Linked DNA regions of Saccharomyces cerevisiae S288C. The gene in region 2 interacts genetically with the main gene of each other region. Each region holds a gene or a part of one and is shown on either strand. Other genes may lie near its edges.

Region 1 (4,808 bases), on a different chromosome or scaffold from region 2:
TCAGTAGCTAAAGCGAGCAAATTACTGGTTAACTTATCGTATTTTCCGTACTGTGGTGAATCTTATGCAAAATGAACCTGGCTTTGGCGGGAGTTTTTTTTTATGTGACACAATGGCCTTTTGCCGGTGGTAAATACGCGCTTCAAAAAGGTTGTTACACAGCGGCACATTAGCATGACACAATCTTGATCCTTTACAATTACTACACCGCCAAGTATAAAGCTTTTCCCAACCAACGTGTTTGCCAAGTAATTTTGTGTAGAGTGCGGCTGACTAACAGCCTTAACCGGGTACTCTGTTCCCTGCATTTGCATAAAAACTACAAAGAAAAGAAAGAAGGAAATACTCCGAACCAAAGAGATACAACAAGAATACTTCTCTCATTACATCGGCACCTTCCTGGGGATTAATTCCTTACAAGCGCTGAAAAAATGAAGAGATGATTCCGTACTTCAACAATGGCTTTTAACCTTATTACCCCAAGAGAGTGTCTACAGAATTAAGGCCCATTTAATTTTTACCTTCCTGTTCCTGCATAACAGACACCCCTTACCCGCATCAACAGGAGGGGAGGAAACATTGCCAATATGTCTGCGAATTGTGACAACCAATCCGCATGCACGGTGGGGGGCGGTTGAAAGCGCCTAGACTTCCCTTTTTTGGATTGCTACGTCACCTTCGCAGCGTGCACCAGGTGCATTCACCACACGAAAAGATGCGAAAGCACACCAAGCGCGAAATTCCGGTTTTTGGCTTGTTTGTTTCGGGCTCCGCCTCATCGTCTTAGCAAATCTAGACCTTGTTGAAAAATCGTGCAGGGACTCCGTACCTGCACAAGCAACGCGGCATAATACATGTAGGGATACAGCAAAGATATTGTTTCTGAATGGGCAAAACATTGCTTTCCGCAAACGGCTTTTTCTTCTCTTTCCCACCACCGTGGGTCACCTTTTTCTTGCGCCTCTTATGCCAACACACTCTTCCCGTGATGCGAATGGTAAAGAAGTTAACAAAAAACACAAAAAATTCATATTCCGATTTCTCTGCAAAGAAGCCTGAGCGGGAACTGCATGTCCGCTTGACTTGTCTTCCCTCCGGTTAGCTGTGCCTGCAGGGAAACCGCAGTAGAAGGACTGCGGAAGGATCTTTTCCCGCCGTTGATGTAATCTTTAAAGTTAATTTTTCCCTCACACAGTTTGCATTTTTCCCGCATGTTGTCCGGTTTTTCTTTCTTTTGTTGCTTTTTCTTCCGTGGGCCTGACGGAACATTCCAAGTTGAGTGCGATCTGACTAAGGAACTAGTAGAGGCTACCGCTCAGTAAGTTTAACAGTCGGCTAAGCATCGATCATCTCATTCTTTGCCTTCACTCAGTTCTTCGCAATAGTACAGTGCTGCGCAATAGACGCACGTATCAGTGATGTATTCTTTCTCTTGTCTTCACATAAAAAGTACGTAGATGTGTTGCCCGTTTGTGTTTTATTAACTTATCGAATGTGGCAAGCCGACGATACAAAAGAAAAAAGTTCATCTTTAACACTTCTTTTTGTTAGTTTTTGAAGTTTTTCCCCACTATCTTTTGCATTAGTTGTGTGTGCCTGTGCGTGTGTAAGCCTTCTAGTATAGTTGATAATCCTTTTCCATAGCTTTTTATATTGCAAGCAGAGAGATATCATTTTGTGCTGTTTTCATTAAACATACTTCACAATTGTATAAAAAAAAAAAACCTTTTTGATCTTTGTTTTCAGAAATTGAAAGTGGATTTGTTAAGCACAGTACAAAATCATCCTTATATAACCCTGGTAAGGTCCTTTTGTCATGCCCATCGGTAACCCAATCAATACGAATGATATCAAGTCCAACCGCATGCGCCAGGAATCAAATATGAGTGCCGTGAGCAATAGCGAAAGTACTATTGGCCAGTCCACCCAACAGCAGCAGCAACAACAACAATATCTCGGCCAGAGCGTTCAACCTCTGATGCCCGTATCCTACCAATACGTAGTTCCTGAACAGTGGCCGTACCCGCAATATTATCAGCAGCCGCAATCCCAGTCTCAACAGCAACTGCAATCCCAGCCTCAGATGTATCAAGTTCAAGAATCCTTTCAGAGTAGCGGTTCTGACTCAAATGCTTCCAATCCACCTTCCACGTCTGTAGGTGTTCCTTCCAACGCTACTGCAACTGCGTTACCGAATGGTTCTGCAATCACCACCAAAAAAAGCAATAACAGTACTAATATCAGTAACAATGTACCATACTACTATTATTTTCCCCAAATGCAAGCCCAACAATCAATGGCATATTCGTATCCACAAGCGTATTATTATTATCCTGCAAACGGCGATGGAACCACTAACGGTGCAACACCATCTGTAACCAGTAATCAAGTCCAAAACCCCAATTTGGAAAAAACCTACTCAACCTTTGAACAACAGCAACAACACCAGCAGCAACAACAATTACAAGCTCAAACGTATCCGGCCCAACCACCAAAGATAGGTAATGCATTTTCAAAGTTCAGTAAATCTGGACCACCTTCTGATTCGTCCAGTGGCTCTATGTCTCCCAATTCTAATCGCACTAGTCGCAATAGTAATAGTATCTCGTCCTTAGCTCAGCAGCCTCCAATGTCAAACTATCCACAACCTTCCACCTACCAATACCCCGGTTTTCACAAGACTTCGTCAATTCCAAACTCGCATTCTCCAATTCCTCCAAGATCATTAACAACGCCAACTCAAGGTCCAACCAGCCAAAATGGACCTTTAAGCTACAATCTTCCGCAAGTGGGTTTGCTACCGCCTCAGCAACAACAACAGGTGAGCCCGTTGTATGATGGAAATTCTATAACTCCACCAGTTAAACCCTCTACTGATCAAGAAACTTATTTAACTGCAAATAGGCACGGAGTGTCAGATCAACAGTATGACTCAATGGCTAAAACCATGAATTCTTTCCAAACAACTACCATAAGGCACCCGATGCCCTTAATCGCCACTACCAATGCCACAGGCAGTAACACCAGCGGCACTTCGGCAAGTATAATAAGGCCAAGAGTAACAACAACAATGTGGGAGGATGAAAAAACGCTATGTTATCAGGTAGAAGCTAACGGTATTTCAGTGGTAAGAAGAGCAGATAATGATATGGTTAATGGTACCAAACTTCTGAATGTAACTAAGATGACAAGAGGTAGAAGAGATGGTATTCTAAAAGCGGAAAAAATCAGGCATGTGGTGAAGATTGGTTCCATGCATTTGAAGGGTGTCTGGATACCGTTTGAGCGTGCCCTAGCAATAGCACAAAGAGAAAAAATTGCTGACTATCTTTATCCCTTGTTCATCAGGGATATTCAGAGCGTATTGAAACAAAATAATCCAAGCAATGATAGCAGTAGTAGTAGCAGTAGCACTGGTATTAAATCCATCAGTCCGCGTACCTATTATCAACCTATTAACAACTATCAAAATCCTAATGGTCCTTCAAATATATCTGCTGCTCAGCTGACATACTCCTCAATGAATTTGAACAACAAAATTATACCCAATAATTCTATACCAGCTGTAAGTACAATCGCTGCGGGTGAAAAGCCCTTGAAAAAATGCACAATGCCTAACTCTAACCAACTAGAAGGACATACTATAACTAACCTACAGACCCTTTCGGCAACAATGCCGATGAAACAACAACTGATGGGCAACATAGCTTCACCCTTATCGTATCCACGCAACGCCACAATGAATTCGGCAAGTACATTAGGCATTACACCTGCAGATTCAAAGCCTTTGACACCTTCTCCAACTACAACAAACACAAATCAATCATCTGAATCAAATGTGGGAAGTATCCATACAGGAATCACCCTTCCAAGAGTGGAATCTGAATCGGCATCACATTCCAAATGGTCTAAGGAAGCAGACAGTGGGAATACTGTACCAGATAATCAAACATTAAAGGAGCCACGATCTAGTCAATTACCAATCTCCGCATTGACTTCGACGGATACTGACAAAATAAAAACAAGTACAAGCGATGAAGCAACACAACCGAACGAACCTAGTGAAGCAGAACCTGTCAAGGAGTCAGAGTCATCCAAATCACAAGTTGATGGAGCTGGCGATGTCTCCAACGAAGAAATTGCTGCTGATGATACAAAAAAACAAGAAAAATAGAACAACTATGAATTCCTTGGATAATTATGTTACTTTAATCAAAACCCTACCGCCCACATATATGTACATACGTTATGCATGAGGTGGACTCATGTTATAAATGACATCTATCACGCCTATAAGATAGACACATTGAACACTTCTTTCCTTTGACGTAATCTCTTTACACGTAAAAACTTCGTTATTTCCGCGGCGCGGTTGTGAACGTGGGAGGTTCCCCGGAAAACATCACAAGCAGCTGCTCGTTCGCGCATATGGGCGCCCACACCCCACACCCCTGGATTTTTTAAACGAGAAACTCGTAAAGAGACAGTGTATTTGTTCCGCAATTTCCGGGGCGGGTAATATTTGTTACCATAGTTCTCGAGAAGGTTTCCCTCGTTTAAGTCTGCGAAGTCTCGTACCTTTTATCGCTGCTGACAAAACATAGCCCAAACCTGCGTCTATATGCTGCCGGTGTTTATATCGCTATTGAAGAGAGCTCATGTTTCGGTTTTGAAAAGATTTTTTATCGAATCGGTTGTAAAAGATCGTCCTTATTGTCTTCAGGCAAAGGGACTGATTGGTTTATATACGCAAGCAGGGAATCTTGTTGGAAGAAAAAAATTATATATAAGCTAATTGTCTATTGTTC
Region 2 (3,478 bases):
TCGCCCTTCCTCGTCGGCACAGATAAAAGCAGGGATGATCGATATGCTGCTGGCACGTTCACGCCTAGAACACAGTTGTCACCTATCCACAAGAAAAGGGAATCCGTAGTTTCCACGGTCTCGACAATATCACAACTGCAGGATGACACTGAACCCATCCACATGCGAAATACCCAGAACCCAACATTAAGAAATGCAAACGCTTTAGCGTCATCAAGTGTACTACCTCCTATTCCTGGTTCCAGCAATAACACTCCAATTAAGAATTCTTTGCCACAAAAACATGTATTTCAACATACTCCCGTCAAAGCTCCACCAAAGAACGGAAGTAACCTAGCTCCGCTTCTAAATGCACCGGATTTAACAGATCATCAGTTAGAAATTAAGACACCCATACGAAATAACAGTCACTGTGAAGTGGAAAGCTATCCGCAAGTACCACCTGTCACACATGATATTCACAAAAGCCCCACTTTGCATAGTACGTCTCCTTTACCAGATGAAATAATACCTAGGACTACGCCAATGAAAATAACCAAGAAACCAACTACTCTGCCTCCGGGTACCATTGACCAGTACGTCAAGGAACTACCCGACAAACTATTCGAGTGCTTATACCCTAACTGTAACAAAGTATTCAAGCGTAGATACAACATAAGGTCGCATATTCAGACACATTTGCAAGATAGACCGTATTCATGCGACTTTCCCGGTTGCACCAAGGCGTTTGTTCGCAATCATGATTTAATAAGACACAAAATCTCCCATAATGCCAAGAAATACATCTGCCCATGCGGAAAGAGATTTAATAGGGAGGATGCTCTAATGGTGCATAGAAGTCGGATGATTTGCACCGGCGGTAAGAAATTAGAACATTCGATCAACAAGAAACTTACATCTCCCAAAAAAAGCCTGCTTGACAGCCCGCATGACACAAGTCCCGTAAAAGAAACTATCGCCCGGGATAAAGATGGGAGCGTCCTAATGAAAATGGAGGAACAGCTGCGAGATGATATGCGCAAACATGGATTACTGGATCCACCCCCATCCACAGCAGCGCACGAGCAAAACTCGAACCGCACCCTTTCAAACGAAACTGATGCTCTCTGACGAACATTTATCTATGCATGATATTAACATAATAAATAATAGTAACAATAATATAATACATTTATTTCTTTACGATTTACGTACACTGTAGTCTTAAGGGCCAAAAAAGGCAATAGTCATCGTTTATAGGGACATAACCCTAAAGGTTATATGCGACTCCTTCTCGAAAATGAAAATTTTTCACAACCTTTAGGGTACATTGCCCTTTAACTACTACAAACCAGCTTCACACATCCTTTGGTAAAACACAGTGTGACGATTTTAAATGACGCAACCTTTTGGGAGACACGATCTAAAACCCACTATATATGATGATACTGTTTATTGAATCATACACCCTGTTGGTTAGACCGGAAGAAAGCTAAAGTTGATCTCCGAAAATACAACGGTGCATCAACCAAAGAAAACATTGCAGGCGTTTCCAAGTGACACTGCATATTCGAAAGTATGGTTGATCTTATAGCGAGGGATGACTCCGTAGATACTTGCCAAGCTTCTAACGGCTACAATGGGCACGCAGGTCTTAGAATTCTGGCAGTATTCATTATACTGATATCGTCAGGATTGGGAGTTTATTTCCCAATTTTGTCATCACGGTATTCGTTTATAAGGCTACCAAATTGGTGCTTTTTCATAGCGAAGTTCTTCGGTTCTGGTGTCATTGTTGCCACAGCGTTCGTTCATCTTCTACAGCCCGCAGCCGAAGCTCTGGGAGATGAATGTCTTGGTGGCACATTTGCCGAATATCCATGGGCTTTTGGGATCTGTTTAATGTCGCTTTTCTTACTTTTCTTCACTGAAATCATCACGCATTATTTTGTAGCGAAAACGCTGGGACACGATCATGGGGACCATGGGGAAGTTACCAGTATTGATGTTGATGCTCCCAGTTCGGGATTTGTCATCAGAAATATGGACTCGGATCCTGTATCTTTCAATAACGAAGCTGCCTACTCCATCCATAATGACAAAACTCCGTACACTACTAGAAATGAAGAGATTGTCGCTACTCCTATAAAGGAAAAAGAACCCGGCTCAAATGTTACTAATTATGATCTGGAACCGGGAAAAACAGAGTCACTAGCTAATGAACTAGTTCCAACCAGTTCCCATGCGACAAATCTCGCTTCTGTACCTGGAAAAGATCATTATTCTCACGAAAATGACCATCAAGATGTCTCCCAGTTGGCCACACGTATCGAGGAGGAAGATAAAGAGCAGTATCTCAATCAGATACTAGCTGTTTTTATTCTAGAATTTGGCATCATCTTTCACTCTGTATTTGTGGGTCTTTCGCTATCTGTCGCGGGTGAAGAATTCGAAACCTTATTTATCGTTTTAACTTTCCACCAAATGTTCGAAGGTTTGGGTCTAGGCACAAGAGTTGCCGAAACGAATTGGCCAGAAAGTAAGAAGTACATGCCTTGGTTAATGGGATTAGCCTTCACTTTAACGTCACCCATAGCAGTCGCGGTAGGTATTGGTGTCAGACACTCTTGGATACCTGGCTCTAGAAGAGCATTAATTGCTAATGGTGTTTTTGACTCGATATCATCAGGAATTCTTATTTATACTGGACTAGTCGAATTAATGGCTCATGAATTCTTATACTCTAATCAATTCAAAGGACCTGATGGCCTCAAAAAAATGCTTAGTGCATATCTCATCATGTGTTGTGGAGCTGCTTTAATGGCTCTTCTAGGGAAATGGGCATAGTATCTCACGTATATTTTGTTAGATTAGATAGTTATTCATTATCAAAAAAAAAAAAATGCATGACCTATAATTTTACAACTGCTCTGCAGAGACGAGAGACATCTCGCAAAAAACAGCATATGTCAGCGACCAATAAGTATAAAAAACACATATTCCGTTATTTGGATATGCCCATTATTACCGAAGGGCAATCGGAATGACAATTTTTATGATTGGAATTGTATAATATACAGATAATTTAATCTATCCTTTTGAAGTGTGAAAAGGGCAGAGTAATGCCGGTATTATGTAGGATAATAGTTTTATTATATAACGGTCCCGAAAACTCTCTTCCTTGCACTATTACTCTCTTTCTCCTGTTGGTCATATTCGTCAACGAATTCGTAGTTATGCCTTAGATTCCATTGTTGCTTGACGAATTTCAACCCTTGAACATTAAAGCCTAGATCATCCTCGGTAGATTTTAATGCACTTCTTAATTCAGTCTTTACTCTATTTATTTGCAATTTCAATTCTTCATTTTTCTGAGAAACCAATTCTTTATGATTAAATTTGATAATGAAAAATAAATTCTTGCAAATTAATGGTAAGTGAGAGTGCAGCAAAGTTTTGTTTTGCATAACGGTATCAATAAATTTTAAAAATTTGAGGA
Region 3 (4,050 bases), on a different chromosome or scaffold from region 2:
AATGATATACAACGAAAAGAATAACAGCAAGTTACGAGAATTGTTTTTGGAGCTTTTTCAATTTTTTGCTCATACCTACAAGGATATGCAAGGATTTGAATCGGGCCCACCTATACATGATCCGGTAGCTTTGATGCCGCTTTTGGAATTTTATGGGTGGGATCCATCGTCTGCGGTTGGATTTCGCTACAAGAGAATGGACATATCCTGCATTGATGATGTTTTCAACGAAAACTCAGGGAAAATTATCATTGAAAAAGAATATCCAAATGACAGTGATGTTGGTACAATAATTGGTCTCGATTTGAATATCCAGTACTTTTGGGATCAGATTTTTGAAGCATTAAATAGAGCAGACAAAATGTCAACGATTGGATAAGAACTTCTATAAAAGGCTTTTTTTTTTTCTACTGACCTTTGGTCAGGTTCTGTTCCTTTCATTTTCACTGGATACAAAGAAGTTTCACTAAAAGTTGTCGCGATTGTATACATATATGCGTATATATACAATTCTACATGTTTTATATTTATTCCATTATATTCTCGTTAAATTTTAACTTTAAATTAAGAGGGCAAAGAGGCCCAGCGGGAGTTAATTTTTCTTCCCATTCAGGGTCAAGACTCCATCGAAACTGTTTCAACATTTCAGCCAAAGAAATTCTCATTTCTGTTAGGGCTAGTTTTTCCCCTAGGCATGCTCTTCGGCCTCCATGGAACCCAGTCACAGCACATCTGTTTTTCGCCATTCTCCAGTTTTTCCTTATGGTTTCGATATCTGAACCCCATCTTTCTGGTTTAAAATCATCTGCTGTTGTGCCCCAAGTTTTGGGATCGTGTGAGGTTCCAAAGTTGTTGTACCCGACATATACGCCCTTGGGTATAACAATTTCCGCCCCCAACTTGCACGTTTTGGTAGTACATCTATTAATAATTGTGCTCAAAGGAGGATACATTCTTACTACTTCGAAGAGAAAAGCATTTAATAAGGGTAAATCTGCTAAGCCTTTTGGATCAGTGATGCCGTTTACTTCCTTCCTGAGTTTCTCTTGCCATTCATTTGAATATTTGGCTAGAAGGTAGAGTGAACTATTAAATAGCAACTGCGGGTTTTCATGGCCAGCGACAAGGATAATGACGATATTATCGGTCAACTGTTTGTAGTCGATTATTTCGTTATTGTGAGCACGAATTAGATCACTGGCAGCAAAAGTAGTTTGTTCAAATTTGTAATTATTGACTAATTCATCTTGAACTCTTTTAACGAGAAGTTCTCTAAAACTAACAACATCCTTGAAGGCTTTTTTTCTTGAAGGAATAGGAAGAACATCAAGGAATGGAAAAGTTAAAAAGAATGGATGAAATATTTGCTTTTTAATACGAATCAAATGCTCGTGGAAAGCATTTTTTTCATGTGTTAGAGCACCAAAATCAAATCCAAGGGCAACCTGTGAAATGTTATCCAATGCCATTCTCTGGGATAAAGGTCCCATAGGGATCGAAGTTTGTCCTTCTAGGAGTCTGTTTTTTATCAAAGTGCATAAAATTTTTGCATTTTTGAATATAGGTGCATCGTCAAAATGTTGGAGCCCGTTTGTCACAGCATTTCTGTAGTTTCTCCAAACTGCACCATACGCGCTAATGACATTGTCCCCTGTGTAAGCGGCAAGAGCACTGTATGGGATTTTCTTTTGATTACCGCTCTTCGCAAAAGTATCTTCATCTTTGAATATTTGTGCTAGATACTCAGAACGAGAAACGAGAATATTCCACCGTGAACCAAAGAAAAATTTTACAGCACCGTATTTTTCCATTGATTCCCTAATATAAAGATCGTATAGCTCCGTTTGATCAATGGGAAATATTACTGGTAAAAATACTACATAAAATGGGATGGTGGGTATATTTTTGGGAAAGTTTAGAGGTGGGACAATGATTGCAAAGGCGACATAGGAAAGAGTAAGAAATAAAATCAAACACAGAAGCTTTAACAACTCCATTTTTAATGCTTTTTTCGATTTATTCTCTTAGTCTGAATCAAATACCATTTTGAAAAAACGAAAATATTTCAAGAAAATTAATGTATTTTTTTGCACTACCTAATATACTATTCGCATCAGGATGACCAGTCATTCCTCTTGTGGTCCGTGGCTTGTAATTTTCGGGAAAGATAGAAATCACTGCATTCATCGAAAGAAGTGAAAATAAATTGTATCGGGGAAGTAATGAGGGGTGGAATACGTAATTGCTTCTCAATTTGATAATACAAGTTACAGTCTTTTTATTGAGAGTCCCTGGAAGGAAAATTATTGATGTTTACCTTTTTTTGCGACGCGCGTCTGGCCATAAATAAAAGGGTTCTCTTGCCAAGAAAAAATAAAAAGGCGCCTTAAGGGACCTTCTATGACAAATATGGTGAGGTATGCAACCTCAATGAAGAGCAATGAGAAAATTTAAGGGGTAAGTAAGCATCGGAATTTGTTGTTTCCTAACAATTTGTCTAATTTACTCAATAATATCAGGAGAATTGATCGAAAAAAGCAAACCAGGAACCCCTCACAAATAAGGGAACATAAAGTAATTGCTCGTCTTTACATACATGGCACTCAATCCCAGACGTCGCGTGCTAAAAATCCTTATATTATTGGCCCCTCAGGAGTTTATTTGAATTTTGATTGCATTGCTTTCAGTGGACAGTATATCATAAAATTTGCAAGGGCATAGTGCCTGCCCTACGATGTTGTAAAACAATTTCTGAAAATAGGTTCAGAATCAAAAATGATGTATAAATATTGAAATAAATTTTCACATAAATTGTGCTCCTCCGCAAAGTCTTGACTAAATAAACAATTTGTTAATATCCTAATTCGGTAAAGCTTTGTCGAGACATTAACAAAAATGACATTTACTAGCAACTTGCCCTCAAGCTCCGAGCAGTCAATATCACCACCTGCCTCTTCATTTTCTTCATCGACTGATACGTTGAAAGATATTGATATTCCCCATAATGGGGCCGATTTGTCTACATATAGTAAATTTCTGGCCCTGTATTGCAGAAGCGACAAATGTGACGATTTTTACTCTTTAGAGGAAAAACAGAATTGTAAATTTGGAGACCAATGGCTCGACTTTATCAACACTATTCACAATCTGGACTTTTCTGAATCCGAAGTAAGTGGACGGGTTTCTGAAAGAATTTTGCCAGCTTCTTTAGCAAATAAATTTACCAATAATTTAGGAGTGGCAATAAAGATTTCTGAATATACACGCGATGACGAACGCCAGATTCGTGGGTGTGTTACAACAGTTGAGAATGAAAATTCTTTCAATAACTGGTTCGTATATCATATTTTAGACCAATCTCAATTATCTCTAAGTGAACATCCAATTGTAACCAAAGAAGTTAAGTATCACGAATTATTTGCAGATTTTTTTGAGAAAAATTTGAAAAACACAATAGTTAATGATCAATGGAATTTTGGTGGCCGTGATTATTTTATTGAACGTTCAAGATATTTTACCGATCGATATTTGAGAATTGAATGCATCTTGCCAGCGTTTCCATGTAAGTCATCTAATGAGCAAAAAGTGTACGGTTCCGTTCCTGACAAAGGCGAAGAACTCGCTTTGAAAAGATTAATAAAAGCCACACAAGACCTTGTCAAGATATATCCACCGGGTATGAAAATTTGGATAGTTAGTGATGGCCATGTTTTCTCCGATTGTATTGGGGTCGATGATGACGTCGTGAGTACTTACACGACCAAATTGCACGAACTGTATAAAAGAGTGGCTATACCTGGTGTTGACGCCATTGGCTTTTGTGGATTGAACGATTTATTTTTTAGCGGTGCAGCTAGTAAAGTTTTCGATCCAAAGTGGGTTAGTGATGTTGAAGTTGCACACTACACAGGAACTCAAATCTGTCCTAAGTCCGATTTGTCGAGACAGATTTTGATGAAAGGCTGTGATACAGATGCAGGTCGTTTGAGAAAGCAGATTGCAATAGAAGGACATCCAAGATTGCATCTGTATAGGGGCTTTTCACGTTTT

What was found.
Region 1: mutations in ZRT2 (region 2) and SOK2 together harm fitness more than expected from each alone (negative genetic interaction), as found in Saccharomyces cerevisiae (2 studies listed by BioGRID).
Region 3: mutations in ZRT2 (region 2) and DIT2 together harm fitness more than expected from each alone (negative genetic interaction), as found in Saccharomyces cerevisiae (2 studies listed by BioGRID).

Annotation. Positions count from the first base shown.
Region 1 is NC_001145.3:302,602-307,409, reverse strand, and holds SOK2 (Sok2p), read left to right. Parts: upstream 1-1,816; coding exon 1,817-4,174; downstream 4,175-4,808. UniProt on the Saccharomyces cerevisiae protein: Plays a general regulatory role in the cyclic AMP-dependent protein kinase-stimulated (PKA) signal transduction pathway by regulating the expression of genes important in growth and development. May inhibit the switch from unicellular to filamentous growth.
Region 2 is NC_001144.5:402,142-405,619, reverse strand, and holds ZRT2 (low-affinity Zn(2+) transporter ZRT2), read left to right. Parts: upstream 1-1,557; coding exon 1,558-2,826; downstream 2,827-3,478. Other genes in the region: DNA-binding transcription factor ACE2, read left to right, coding at 1-1,110; snoRNA-binding rRNA-processing protein DIP2, read right to left, coding at 3,132-3,478. UniProt on the Saccharomyces cerevisiae protein: Low-affinity zinc transport protein. Active in zinc-replete cells and is time-, temperature- and concentration-dependent and prefers zinc over other metals as its substrate.
Region 3 is NC_001136.10:1,271,707-1,275,756, forward strand, and holds DIT2 (putative cytochrome P450), read right to left. Parts: upstream 1,998-4,050; coding exon 528-1,997; downstream 1-527. Other genes in the region: URH1 (trifunctional uridine nucleosidase/nicotinamide riboside hydrolase/nicotinic acid riboside hydrolase), read left to right, coding at 1-379; DIT1 (Dit1p), read left to right, coding at 2,896-4,050. UniProt on the Saccharomyces cerevisiae protein: Involved in spore wall maturation. Thought to catalyze the oxidation of tyrosine residues in the formation of LL-dityrosine a precursor of the spore wall.